Ovis aries: one gene and its partner. The protein of the gene in region 1 purifies or fractionates together with the protein of each later gene. This does not show direct contact. Links are inferred from orthologs where the notes say so. Each region holds a gene or a part of one and is shown on either strand. Other genes may lie near its edges.

What was found. Proteins that work in one complex are often made in the same cells at the same time.
Region 2: the proteins of HSPA12B (region 1) and EEF2K purify together in Homo sapiens (affinity purification with mass spectrometry; 3 studies listed by BioGRID and IntAct, with this or other methods). This does not show direct contact. The link is inferred for Ovis aries from reciprocal best matches to the Homo sapiens genes HSPA12B and EEF2K.

The regions. Positions count from the first base shown.
Region 1 is NC_056066.1:51,179,386-51,185,799, forward strand, and holds the start of HSPA12B (heat shock 70 kDa protein 12B), read right to left. Parts: upstream 4,343-6,414; 5' UTR 4,281-4,342; intron 3,811-4,280; exon of another isoform or gene 3,673-3,810; intron 1-3,672.
Region 2 is NC_056077.1:20,495,722-20,501,497, reverse strand, and holds part of EEF2K (eukaryotic elongation factor 2 kinase), read right to left. Parts: intron 3,667-5,776; coding exon 3,542-3,666; intron 1-3,541. UniProt on the Homo sapiens protein: Threonine kinase that regulates protein synthesis by controlling the rate of peptide chain elongation.

The DNA of each region.
Region 1 (6,414 bases):
ATTGTTCCTAATCAGATAATCATGTACCTGAATCTGAGATTACAAATGGTGCTATGACGGATACAAGCAGGGCAGAAAGGGTAGCATGGCAAAGCTGGAGAAAGGGGTTGGGCTTGGCTTATCGTGCAGACAGATCCTGGTGGACTCAATTTTAAACCTGGTTTTATATGAAGGATGAGCAAATCCTGCAGGGTTTGAAGTGGCAAAGTGGAGACAGGTGCATGACTAAATCTGTTTTAAAAATCCCACCTGGCTGCATGGAAGTATGGACTGCAGCAGGACAACATGAAACAGGGGCCAACAGTGCTCCAGGCAACAGATGCTGACTGCGTATCTTGAGACATAAGTGCACACATTTACGTTAGAAGTTAAAATCAACAAGCCTGACAGAAGTTGGCTGGATTGGAATTGGGAGATTAGGAAGAAGGTGTTCTTCTTAGACTGACTGACCCAAGCAAGGAGATGGATGGTCAGATGGAGAATCCTGGAGCAGTGCAAGCTGGCAGGGGGAAAGGGGCAGTGTTCCGGGTGCAGTTTTTGAAACTGCTGAGAAAACAGACCAAGGAGTCAGGTGACATATGACCTAGAGGTCAGGGAGAATTCCAAGGTGGAGATTTGTGTTTGGTGTCATTGTCACAGGAAGTTTGGTGGAGAGTAGCGTGGGGGAAGGGAAGAGAGGAGAAGCTCTGAATAAAGGTTGACAGGAGGAAGGTTGGCTGGCCAGGGAGACAGGGATGCCTGCTATGGTTTCATGAAGATCTCGATAAGAGAAGGCCGCGAAGCTAGATCCTTCAGAGATTTTTAGATGAAACTGGAAACACCAGATTTAATGTTTTAAAGGCCCAGGGCATTTTGGTGGAATGAAGGAATGGGGTAGGAGTCTGGTAGGCAAGGAGGGAGCAGAGGATGAGAGAACAGAGCTAGCACTTCCCGCTAGTGCAGCTGAGGTCAGGAGGTGATGTGCATCTTACCTGGAAGAAAATAAAGCTTGAGGAGGGGAGGACAGGATTTTGTTTTCTAAGATGAGAGGAACTTGAGCTTCTGTCCGCCAGCTCCCAAGAGCTGATTCTGTGCATCTCTTCTCAATTTTGCATTTATTGACATCACATTTGATAGTTTGAAATCAGCCGTGGTGATTACACCACACAAGCTGGCAAACTGCAAATCAGGTTTTTCTCCCTCTTGGGGAGCAGACTGAAAAACATTTACCAACAAAGACTGGATCAAGGCCACAGGAGAGATGATGGCAGCCGTACTTATAAGTCGTTTCAATTCATCAGCAAAAACATTGAACACTTCTTCCAGCCAGGTTCTACAGCTAAGTGCTGGGGAAATACTGCTCAATGAATGGATTTTCTCAACCAAGGATATTGTATTTGGAGCAGAAACAATCTAGAATAACCAAGAAAAAGACTCAGGGGTTGTCATTCTAAGTTGATTCCTTGTCCAAACCATTGTCTATAATTACCCCAGCTCTTATCTCTGAGCCTGTGATACACTGAGTGCTCTGATACTCAGGGCTGACAAGGGCCTATTAGGCACCTTAAGGACACCTGGCTGGAGTGCATCCTGTTGCCTCTCTGCGCCTCAGTGCCCTTTCCTGTAAAACAGATCATGCAGGTGCTTGTGAGGATCAAGTCCAAGGATGGAAGGTGGTTGGTAAAAAGGCAGATGTGAGCGGTGTTCTTTCCCTTCATGATATGGATTCTGAAGTTTTTCTTGTCAGAATTTTTGGTCTTATTGAAACTTTTATTCTAGTCATTCTGAGTTCTTTATAGAAGGAGGGAGGCCCTGAATCAATTTGTGTTAAAAAAGGAGGATCCTGCTGATTCTCTGAGAGATGGAGTTAGAAGCAGGTGGCAGCCACACAAGCATGCATACATGCCCCATATTTCTTTGGGACATCCTTACCATGCGTACACACCCGTTTACCAGAAACATGTAGGGAGAATGCTGATCATGGGACTCAGGACAACCTCCACTCCCAAAAGCTACATCTGGGCAGGGTCTGCAGCTGGAAATGGGGGGAGGTAGAACCCTGCCCCAGGGGTCCACTAATTTCAGACTGGTGATGCTTATGGGTTTGAGAATAATTGAATGGGCCAGTTTGGCTTACACAGAAAGTAACCATTTCCTGGCTACAAGAGCAGGCTAAACCCTGGCCCCAGCCTGACCCCTGCCCTACCCACAGACACTTAATCCCACCTCCGGTCTGTCCCTTAACCCCACCCATGGACTGACCCATAGCCCTTAGCCTCATATTGACCTCTGATCTTCAGCTTTACCCTGACCCAACAGGCCTGACTGGGGACTAGGACAGGGTGTGGCTGAGGAGGGAGTTGAAACCAGAGATTCCCAACCCACAGTGTTCCCCAGACTACAAAAGCCCAGGACTTTCTGTCCAATGGAGAGAAATCTCCAACGATCTTTTCCTCAGTTGGGCGTGATGAGGCTGGGTCCTTGTGTCCCTTCCCATCCCCCACCAGAGCACTTGGACATGTGGTGCTGCTGGTGTTGCTGGGCTCCACACATACCCATCTTCTGCCCATGAAGGCAAAGAGCCCACCCAACTTTACAGCTCACCTCCATACCCCCACAGGCCTTTTCCCTGCACCCTGCCTCTTCTATCCCCTGCTCTCTCTCATCATCCTGCCATTCAGCAAACAAAGAGAAGCCACGGGCATTTTTCCCAAACCAGAGACTGAGCCAACCTGGGCCCAAGGGACAGATCAGAAATGGCACCCAAAGGGCTGCCCCCATCTGTCTCTGGAGAGGCGCCCTCAAGGTGAGGGACCAGAGGGAGGCTGTGGGGTGAGAAAGCTGCCTTCTCCTGGGCTGGGGCAGGGAGTGACAGAAAAGGCCTCCTGCATCCCCTCCCTGTCCTCGCTTTTCTTTCCATACATCCTGCCCCACCCCCACGGGTCCCCATCAAGGGAGCAGCCAGCTCACAAACAACCTCTGTCCCACAGAGCCTAGGGCCTAAGCCCCTCCCACCCTCTCGAGAGGTCCCTCATCACCTCTCTTACCTTCTGGGGATCCAGGGCTGCCTTCACTCTCGCAGGGAGTCCATATTTTAGAGCTTCCTCCCTCCCAGTCCCTCTCTCCCATACGAGCTAGCTTTGCCTCCTGGCTCCACAGCCCCCACAGGGAGCCAGACCCCACTCCACCTGGATCCCCACGCTGGCCTCACAGAGAGAAACCAGAGGTCCCTGTTCATGAGGCCAGCCCACAGTCTGGCACTGCAGCACCCCAGCCACTCTTGAACTTCTGAGCCCACAGGCCCTAGGAACTCCCCCAGCAGGCACCCCCAAAGTACACACATATTCAACCCCAGGGTCTCCACCTTCTGGCCTAAGCACCGCGTCCCTCCACAAACTTGCTCCCCTGGAGCAGCCCCCAGCCCTACAGCAGACGCCCAGACACAGAAGTCTCTCGAGCCCCACCCTCACCAGTGTAGGGTCCCAAAGCTCGGATGGGAGCCCTCAGTCGCTGCCCCAGTTGCCTTCCTGAACCCCAGAGCCCTGCTGGAGACAGGGGCTTGCAGCTCTGTGCCAGTCCCGTTCCCGAGGGTCAGGAGTTTGTGGTGGGGTCTCAGCCGCCAGCCCGCGATGAAACCGCAAATCTTGGCGCCTTTCTCTCTAGGAGCCCAGCAGCGCCCTGCCCAGGACTCACCTCTGCCCTCCCGACAGCTCGACCTCTGTGCAGACGCCTGGAAGCTGGGCCCGCAGCCGGTGGGGTGGCCGTGCCCTGCCGCGGCGGCCACAGCCCTCGACGTGCGTCCAGCCCCGGCCCCGCTCTTCGCCCTGCAACGCCCGACCCCTCTCCCTTCCCCTCCCCCTCCCCCAGGCCGGATGGCCGCGCCGCCGCGCCGCCGGGTGGGCCAGCGCTCCAGCCCAGATGTGCGAGGCCGGGGCGGGGCCGGCAGCGCGGGCCTCCACCGAGGGGCCCCGCCCGGCTCCAGTCCACAGCCCCTCCCCGCGCCCCTCCTGCGCCTCCCACTTCCCAGCCACCCGGGGGGCCTTGAGGGAAGAAGGTTGAGGAGGCGAGGTAGAGGGTAGAAGAGAGGAATTTCAGAACCCCCCTAGGCCTCCTGCAGCCGGCTGCGGACGGGCCCTCTGCTCACCTCAAGGCCACCGTGAGCCAGCTAGAAAGCCCACCTGCCTAGAGGGAGGGCCCTGCCCCATACCCTCAGAGCCCCTTCACCCAGACACCTACCCCCGCACCACATCCCCACCGAGATCCCTAGCTTGGTCTCCAAGGATCAGAGAAAAGAAGCCGACCTGAGGATGAGCACAGGCCTTCCAGCCCAGACCGGGCCCTAGGTCTTTCCCTGCTGAAGTCTGGGGCAGGGAGGGAAGCGTTCTCACAATCTGGGTCCGCCCTCCTAGCAAAGGGAGCACTCAGAACTCATTCTGCTTCGACAAGGAGCACATGGCCCCTTTCCTGTGAGGGCTGGTGGCCTTCTTTCTAAGCTAGCCTTCTGTCCTAGCCCATGCTTTCGTGAGGGTTTGGGGACCTGGCCTCCAAACAGAAGATTGAAAGAGTGGAGATCTGGTTGCTAGGCCCTTCTAAGGCAGCTAACTTCCCATGCCCTACCCCCCACACCTCCTGGTTCTGGTAGGACCTGGGCCTGACCCATTTCCTTCTGCCCAGTGTGTCCCCACAGAGGCTTAGGCTGGCGTGGGTGGAGTAGGGCCAAGAGTTGCTTCTTAGCTTGTCTCTCTGTGCTAGGGGCGCTGGCCTCTTGTCTGTTCCCTTAGTCCCCTCCTCAAAGAAGGCTTCCATAGTTCTTTAGGTATCAGTTGCCACCACCCACCCCAAACCTTGACATGGCCTATGTTCCCTCCCTGGAATATTCTTTCCTCCTCTCCGTCCATCTGAAAGGCTCCTCAGCTAAGGTATCATCTCTTCCAAACTTCTGGCCCTATTGTCAGGGCCACTGCTCTAGAGGGCTCCCTGCAGTGAGGCTGGGGGTGAGGGGTATACAGCACCAGTTTTTGATGTTAGCACTGGGCCAGTAAGCCAGCAAGGTATTCAATCAGCAGCCTCCACTGGCTGCTCCAGATGTGTAAGAGTGTGTGTATCTGTTGGTGTGTCTCTGTGTGTGTGTCTGTGTGTATGAGTGTGTCTTTGTGTGTCTGTGAGTGTGTATATATATATGTGTGTGTCCATATGTCTCTTGGGATGTCTGTGTGACTGTGTCTGTGCCTGTGTGTCTGTATGTATTATATATGGGCATGTCTGGTGTCTTACGTCTTTTTGTGTATGTATTTGTCATATTTGTCTGTTTGTGAGTGTGTGACAAGTATGTGATGGGGGCTGGCAGGCCTTCATCTCATTGCAGAGGCTGAGAAAAGCCAGGGAGTGTTGAAGTGTGGCTGTGCATTAGGGGGAAGGGGCACAGGGTCTAGCCCCTTAAACACACCTGCTTCGTGTTTGTTTTTTTTTTCCTCTGCTCTAGGTATTCCTCCACCCTCACCCCCAGCTTCACAGGCTGGCTCATTCCTAAGGGCTATGGCAGCAGGCTTTGAGCAGGAATGGAGAATCGTGGGTGGGGGGTCGCTAGCTCCTGGTGCCCTTCTGCTTAGCAGTCTTCTGTTCCCCCCTATTTTAGGCCCCTCAGGTGTTACAGTCACCCTTGGGCAGCTTCCAGTCAGACACAAGAGAAGGACGGCAAACAGTCCCAGTGAATCCTTGCCTACTGGGAGATTCAATTCAATTGCCACCAGAAGATTTGAACCAAGATAGGAATCGAGAAGGCAGTAGCACCCCACTCCAGTACTCTTGCCTGGACAATCCCATGGACGGAGGAGCCTGGTAGGCTGCAGTCCATGGGGTCGCTAAGAGTCGGGCACGACTGAGCGACTTCCCTTTCACTTTTCACTTTCATGCATTGGAGAAGGAAATGGCAACTCACTCCAGTATTCTTGCCTGGAGAATCCCAGGGACAGAGGAGCCTAGTGGGCTGCTGTCTATAGGGTCGCACAGAGTCGGACACGACTGAAGTGACTTAGCAGCAGCAGCAGCAGGCATCGATGAGGGTCCCACAGAGCCCCCAAGGGACCTCTCTGAGCCCTTGCATTCCCTCCTCTGCCCTCCAGTGCCGTGGAGATGCACCCAGTGACCTCACTGGCTTCCTGCTTCTCCCTGGTTGGGGAAGAGGGGGGAAGGATCCACTTAGGAGCAGCCTCTCTCCAGGCCTTGCCTCCCTCCTCTGGCCTGCACTCAGGATCTCCCTCTCTCCATTCTGTTCCCGGCCCTGCTCCTCTAGTTCATCTCTTTCTTGCAACTGGAGGAGACTTTCAAAAGTGCAAATCTGATTCCACTGCCTCACCATTCCAACACCATCCCTTACCTACAGGAGAAGAGCCAGTGATCCAAGGCTTGGACTGCCGTTGGCTGACCTCTCGAGCT
Region 2 (5,776 bases), on another chromosome or scaffold:
ATCTCTGGTTGGGGAACTAAGATCCCACAAGCTGCACAGCGTGGCCAAAACACAACAAAACAAAAAACAAAACACACAAAAAACTACCCTATGGGTTTGCATTAGCAGTGGGTGGTGTCCCAACCAATTTGCCCTATAACTCATGCAGGAGAAGAGGTGGGTGGGGTACCCTTCACCAAAGCCCCCAGAACCTTCGACAGCAGTCATTCAGCTCTTTCTTTCTCTGCCTCTGCTGGTCAGCTCTGGCTTTCCTCCAGAAAATGGAGGGCTTATTCCAGAACAGCTGACTTCCCCCTTCTGACTCTGCCCTTCACTCTCAATTATTTCTCCTACGGCCACACAGTGGTCTAACCCCCAAAGGCAGACACAGGTTCCAACCCAATCTGAGCAAAACAAAATAAAGAGTAAACAGGGCAGTGGGCTCTTTTCCTTGGGGTGTACTAATGCACATTACCAAACACGTGAGTAACTATAGGACATCAGGAAAGAGCAAAGAGAGACGCAGATAAGAAGGTCTACGTGCCCCATGAAGTGTTCCTGGAGCTACAGCTGTGTATATATATACACACATATATGGACCTGGCTTCACCCTCCAGTCTTAGCTCCTGTCAGCCATGCCAGACTCGCTGGGTCACTTTCCCCTCCTCGGACTTGCCAGCTCCTGTCCGCCCTTTGGCTTTTGCACCTGCTGCTCCCTTTGCTTAGAACATCCTTCCTTGAACTCTTCCCATACCTGGCTCCTCATCTCTCCAACCTCAGCTCAGCTTCTTCAGAGACGCTGGCCCCAAATACTCGATTTCTTACCATTACCTCAAACTGTAATTCTCCTGTTTACTTATTCACTTGTTTATTACGTTTTCCCCAGGTAGAATGTAAGGCTCTAGGAGGGCAGGGACCGTGTCTGTTTTATTCACGGCTGCATTCCCAGGGCCTGGCAAACAGCACAGACTCTATAAATGTCTGCTGAAGTGGCTGGCTGGGATGGCGTCAGGAGATAATCTTGACTCCATTCTGTTTTATAAAGAAGGGAAGTTGTTTGAAAATTATTTGTGGCACATCCAGAAGACTGGGGTTTGAACAGTGGATTGGCAATCACTAAACTAGCTGATCTCAATTCTTTCAGCTTTGGCCCTCTCTGGTCTTGAAAGGCAAGGCAGAACTGCTTCCAACACATTAAATGTAAAAGAAGGGAAAAGGCCTAGTCTCTCCCAATGCACCCCACCCAACTCCACACCCCGTGGTTAGTATGTCCACCCTGCCTTGGAATTTCCAATGACTTTTCCTTCTGCTATGAGATAGTAACTTCTGAGGGGGTCAAAACCCCTTAAATGCAAATAGCTGACTCTCATTTATGCTCCTTGAATGGAAGAGGCTGGGGCTGCTTGGAATGAGGAAGAAGAGTGAGAGAATGACTTTGGAAGATGTTACGGAAGAAAATCTTGATTGATTTAACCACACAAATATTAAAACCCAGCAAGTTCCCAGACTCAATAGTCAGTGGGCACTGTGTGGCACCTCTTCTCCCTGCTGCCCCAAATCTATGCAAGCCATCTCTGAAAAAAGGTTTTAAGTCAACTCATTTACCAAAGAGCTAACAGCCTTAAAAAAAATTTTTTTTTACAGGGAATTCCCTGATGGTTCAATGGTCGGACTTTATGCTTCCACTGCAAAGGGCATGGGTTTGATCCCTGATTGGGGAACTAAGATCCCACATTCCACAAGGCCAAAATATATATATGTGCTGTGCATAGTCCTCAGTTGTGTCCAACTCTTTGTGACCCTATGGACTGTAGCCCTTCAGGCTCCTCTTTCCCTGGGGATTCTCCAGGCAAGAATACTAGAGTGGATTCCCGTGCCCTTCTCCAGAGGATATTCCAGACCCAGGGACTGAACCCTGGTCTCTTGCATTGCAGGCAGATTCCTTACCATTTGAGCTACAGGGAAGTCTCAATGGGCATCACAGATGTTGGCATTTGATTTTGGACAAAATCATTTCCTGTTTTGTTTACCTCCCCTCCATGCCAGTGACTCTGAGCCCCTAAGAAGCAGGCTAATGTACAGTCCACTGGAGAAGAGATGAGAAGACCTAAGTTTTGGCCCTGCTACTTACTGGCTACTTAACTGCAGACAAGCCCCTTCACTTCTTAGAACCACACATCCATAAAATAAGCCCCTAAATGCTGCCCAGTCTGTGTCAAAGAGATGTGTTGATTCTTTCATTCAAACAACTACTGAGCCAGGCCCTGTGCTAAGCACTGGCACTGAAGAGGTGCAGGAAACCCAATTCTAGTTCTCAGTGAAATAAAATCACAGATATGAAGGTGTACCCAAATATAAGGAGCATTACAGTTACATAGCAGGGAGCTGACACATGTTTGCAGGGTATGTAACTCAGACATTTTAGACCCTGAGAGCTTGACATGACAGAGCCCCAGTCTCGACTTTGCTTCTAAACTCAGTGAGGGAGATGAAAACACGACCCACATAGGAGGCAAGTGCCACGCTGCCCCAATCCTGGAGGTTTGGACACTGTCCCTTCCAGAAAGCCATGGGTGCCTGAGAAGAAACGGGGAAGCTGAGATCCACTGGGAGCCAGTGAGCAACAGGTCCTACTAAGAACTGAATTCCCTCAACCATTCTCTGCTCCTAGACTTCTGGGACCTCCCACCAGCCAAGCCAAAGACCCAAGATGAAGCTGCCATTCTCCTCTCTTGCCACCGGAGAGTCCAATCCTGGCATCTCTGCCAGAGGCATAAGGGAAAAGCTGTTAACACCTGTAGGGTTGTAGCTGTCAGAGATTTCAAAAAAGTGAGAAAAAAAAAAAAAGAGTCAAAGTGTTAGTTGCTCAGTCTTGTCTCTTTGAGACCCCATGGACTGCAGTCCGCCAGGCTTCTCTGTCCATGGAATTCTCCAGGCAAGGATACTGGAGTGGGTAGCCATTCCCTTCTCCAGGGGATTTTCCTGACCCAGGGACCGAACCTGGGTCTCCTGCATTGCAGGCAGATTCTTTACCATCTGAGCCACCAGGGAAGCCCAAATCACTCTGGAAAACTCATACCAGGACTGAACTCCTCCCTGGAGTTCAGTCCCCCTTCCCTCCACTCCCTCTTAGAAGTGAAAACACTAAAAACAAAAATAGGAAGAGTCAATTAAAATCACCCCTAATCCCATCATCTAGAGAAAACTGGCCCTGGACCTGATGCTACATATCCCTTCAGACTCTTTCTCAGACAAATCTTTACATAAAATGGCTAAGACGCCATTTCTCTCTCTCTTTATGTGCCAGTGAAATTACAGGCATCATCTCATTTAACCCTCACGCAAGCACACATTACCGCCCTAGGGTGCAGGTGCTATGGGTATTCTGATTTGACACGATGAAGAAACTGAGGTCAGGGAGGTAGGCCTACTTGCCCACGGTCACAGGGCTGGTACTCGGGGGAGGCACACCTGGAACCCGGGTCTGTTCTGATTCCAGAGGGGAGGCTCCCACCTGCACCCCAGGTTCCCACCAGCTCCACCTGAGCCACGGCCACAGTACCTGTCAGGGCTGAGGTTCTGGCCAGTGTCAAAGGCTCGCGCCACCAGAATCATGCACTGCCTGTCACCAGCTTCAGCTGCCTTCAGTAAGTAATCAAATCCTTTGGTTTTGTTCGCTTCTGTCTCCTGTTAATACAAACCAAAGAGGGGGAGAGAGAAAAGTGAGCTGTGAGGGGCTGCCAGAATCTCATACGTCAATCTTTTCTCTGTTTCTTGAATTGAGAGCTTCAGGTTGGGGCTGCTGTGGAACTGCACATTGTGAGAAAGAGAACAGGGCTTACCCTGCTGCAAAGAGCTCTCTGGCGGTTCCCATCAGGCAGGGAGAAATGGAAGCTTAGTCCACTCCCACCTCTATCTGATGTGATTCTGCCAGAGACCACATCATCTATCCACTTCCAACAGGGGCGCCTGGCTTCCAATTCTTTTAAATTTTTTAGCAACTTTATCGAGATATAATTCATATAACAACTCATTCATTTAAAGTGTACAACCCTCGTAGCTCAGACGGTAGCTTTACCTGCCTACAATGCAGAAGACCCGGGTTCAATCCTGGGGTCAGGAAGATCCTCTGGAGAAGGAAATGGCACCCCACTCCAGTACTCTTGCCTGGAAAATCCCATGGACGGAGGAGCATGGTAGGCTACAGTCCATGGGGTCGCAAAGAGTTGGACACTACTGAGCGATGTCACTCACTTACAGATTGTGCAACCACCACCATAATCAATTTCAGAATATTTTCATTAACTCAAAAAGAAATCAAAACACCATACCCTTTAACTAGTACCTCCCAATTGTTCCCCAACCACCCCTACCCAGCCCTGGACAACCACTAATCTACATTCTGTTTCTAGCGATTTCCCTATTCTGGGCATTTTATATAAATGCAATCATATAACAACTAGTCTTTTGTGCCTGGCTCTTTTCACTTGGCATAAGGTTTTCAAAGTTCATTTCATACAGCTTCTATCAGTGTTTCATTCTTTCTTATGGCCAAAAAACATTCCATTGTATGAAGATACCACGATTTGTTAATCTGTTCATAATTCATCAGGTGATGGGCATTTGGCTTGCTTTCATTTTATAGCTATTCTCTATGAACACTGTGTACAAACTTTTGTGTGGATGTATGTATCTATTTTGGGGGTTTATATACCCAGGAGTGGGCTTCCTGGTGGCTCAGTTGGTAAATAATCTGCCTGCAATGTGGGAGATCTGGGTTCAATCCCTGGGCTGGGAAGATCCCCTGGAGGAGGGTACGGCAACCCACTCCAGTATTCTTGCCTGGAGAATCTCTGTGGACAGAGGAGCCTGGCAGGCTACAGTCCGTGGGGTCGCAAAGAGTGGAACATGACTAAGCAACTAAGCACACACACCAAGGAGTGGGGAAGCCCAGGTGGCACAGAAGTAAAGAATCTGCCTGCCAATGTAGGAGGCACAAGGGATGCAGGTTTGATCGGGAAGATCCCCTGGGGTAGTCAAATGCTTGGCATCTGACTCCAGTATTCTTGCCTAGAAAATGCCATGAACAGAGAAGCCTGGCAGGTTACAGACCAGAGGGTTGCAAAGAGTTGGACACAACTGAGCAAGTGAGCATGCATACACAGACCTAGGAGTAGGACTTCCGGGTCACATATGACTCTATGTTTAGCCTTTTGAGGAGCTGACCGTTTCCCACAGTGGCTACAAATACAAAGCTCTCGTATCAGTCTATAAGGCCCTTCTCAACCTTCAGGCTTCAGGAAGTGTGGCAGGGACTACCAGTTGTCCCCCATATCCATTGAAAGTGAAAGTGAAGTCGCTCAGTCGTGTCCGACTCTTTGGGACCCCATGGACTATAGCCCATCAGGCTCATCCGTCCATGGGATTTTCCAGGCAAGAGTGCTGGAGTGGATTGCCATTTCCTTCTCCAGGGGATCTTCCTGACCCAGGAATTGAACTCAGGTCTCCTGCATTGCAGGCAGATGCTTTACCATCTGAGCCACCAGGGAAGTCCCTTATCCCCTGCCATATTTTTGCTGGCACATGGCTGACCAGCTAAAAACTACATTTCCCAGCCTCCCTTGCACCTGGAATCAGTCTCTTAATAACAAGTGGCCTATCCATAGGGACTTCCCTGGCAGTCTGGTGGTTAAGACTGTGCTTTCACTGCAGGGGGGACAGGTTCAGTCAGGGAGTCAGTCAGTTCAGTTGCTCAGTTGTGTCCCCATGGACTTCAGCACGTCAGGCTTTCCTGTCC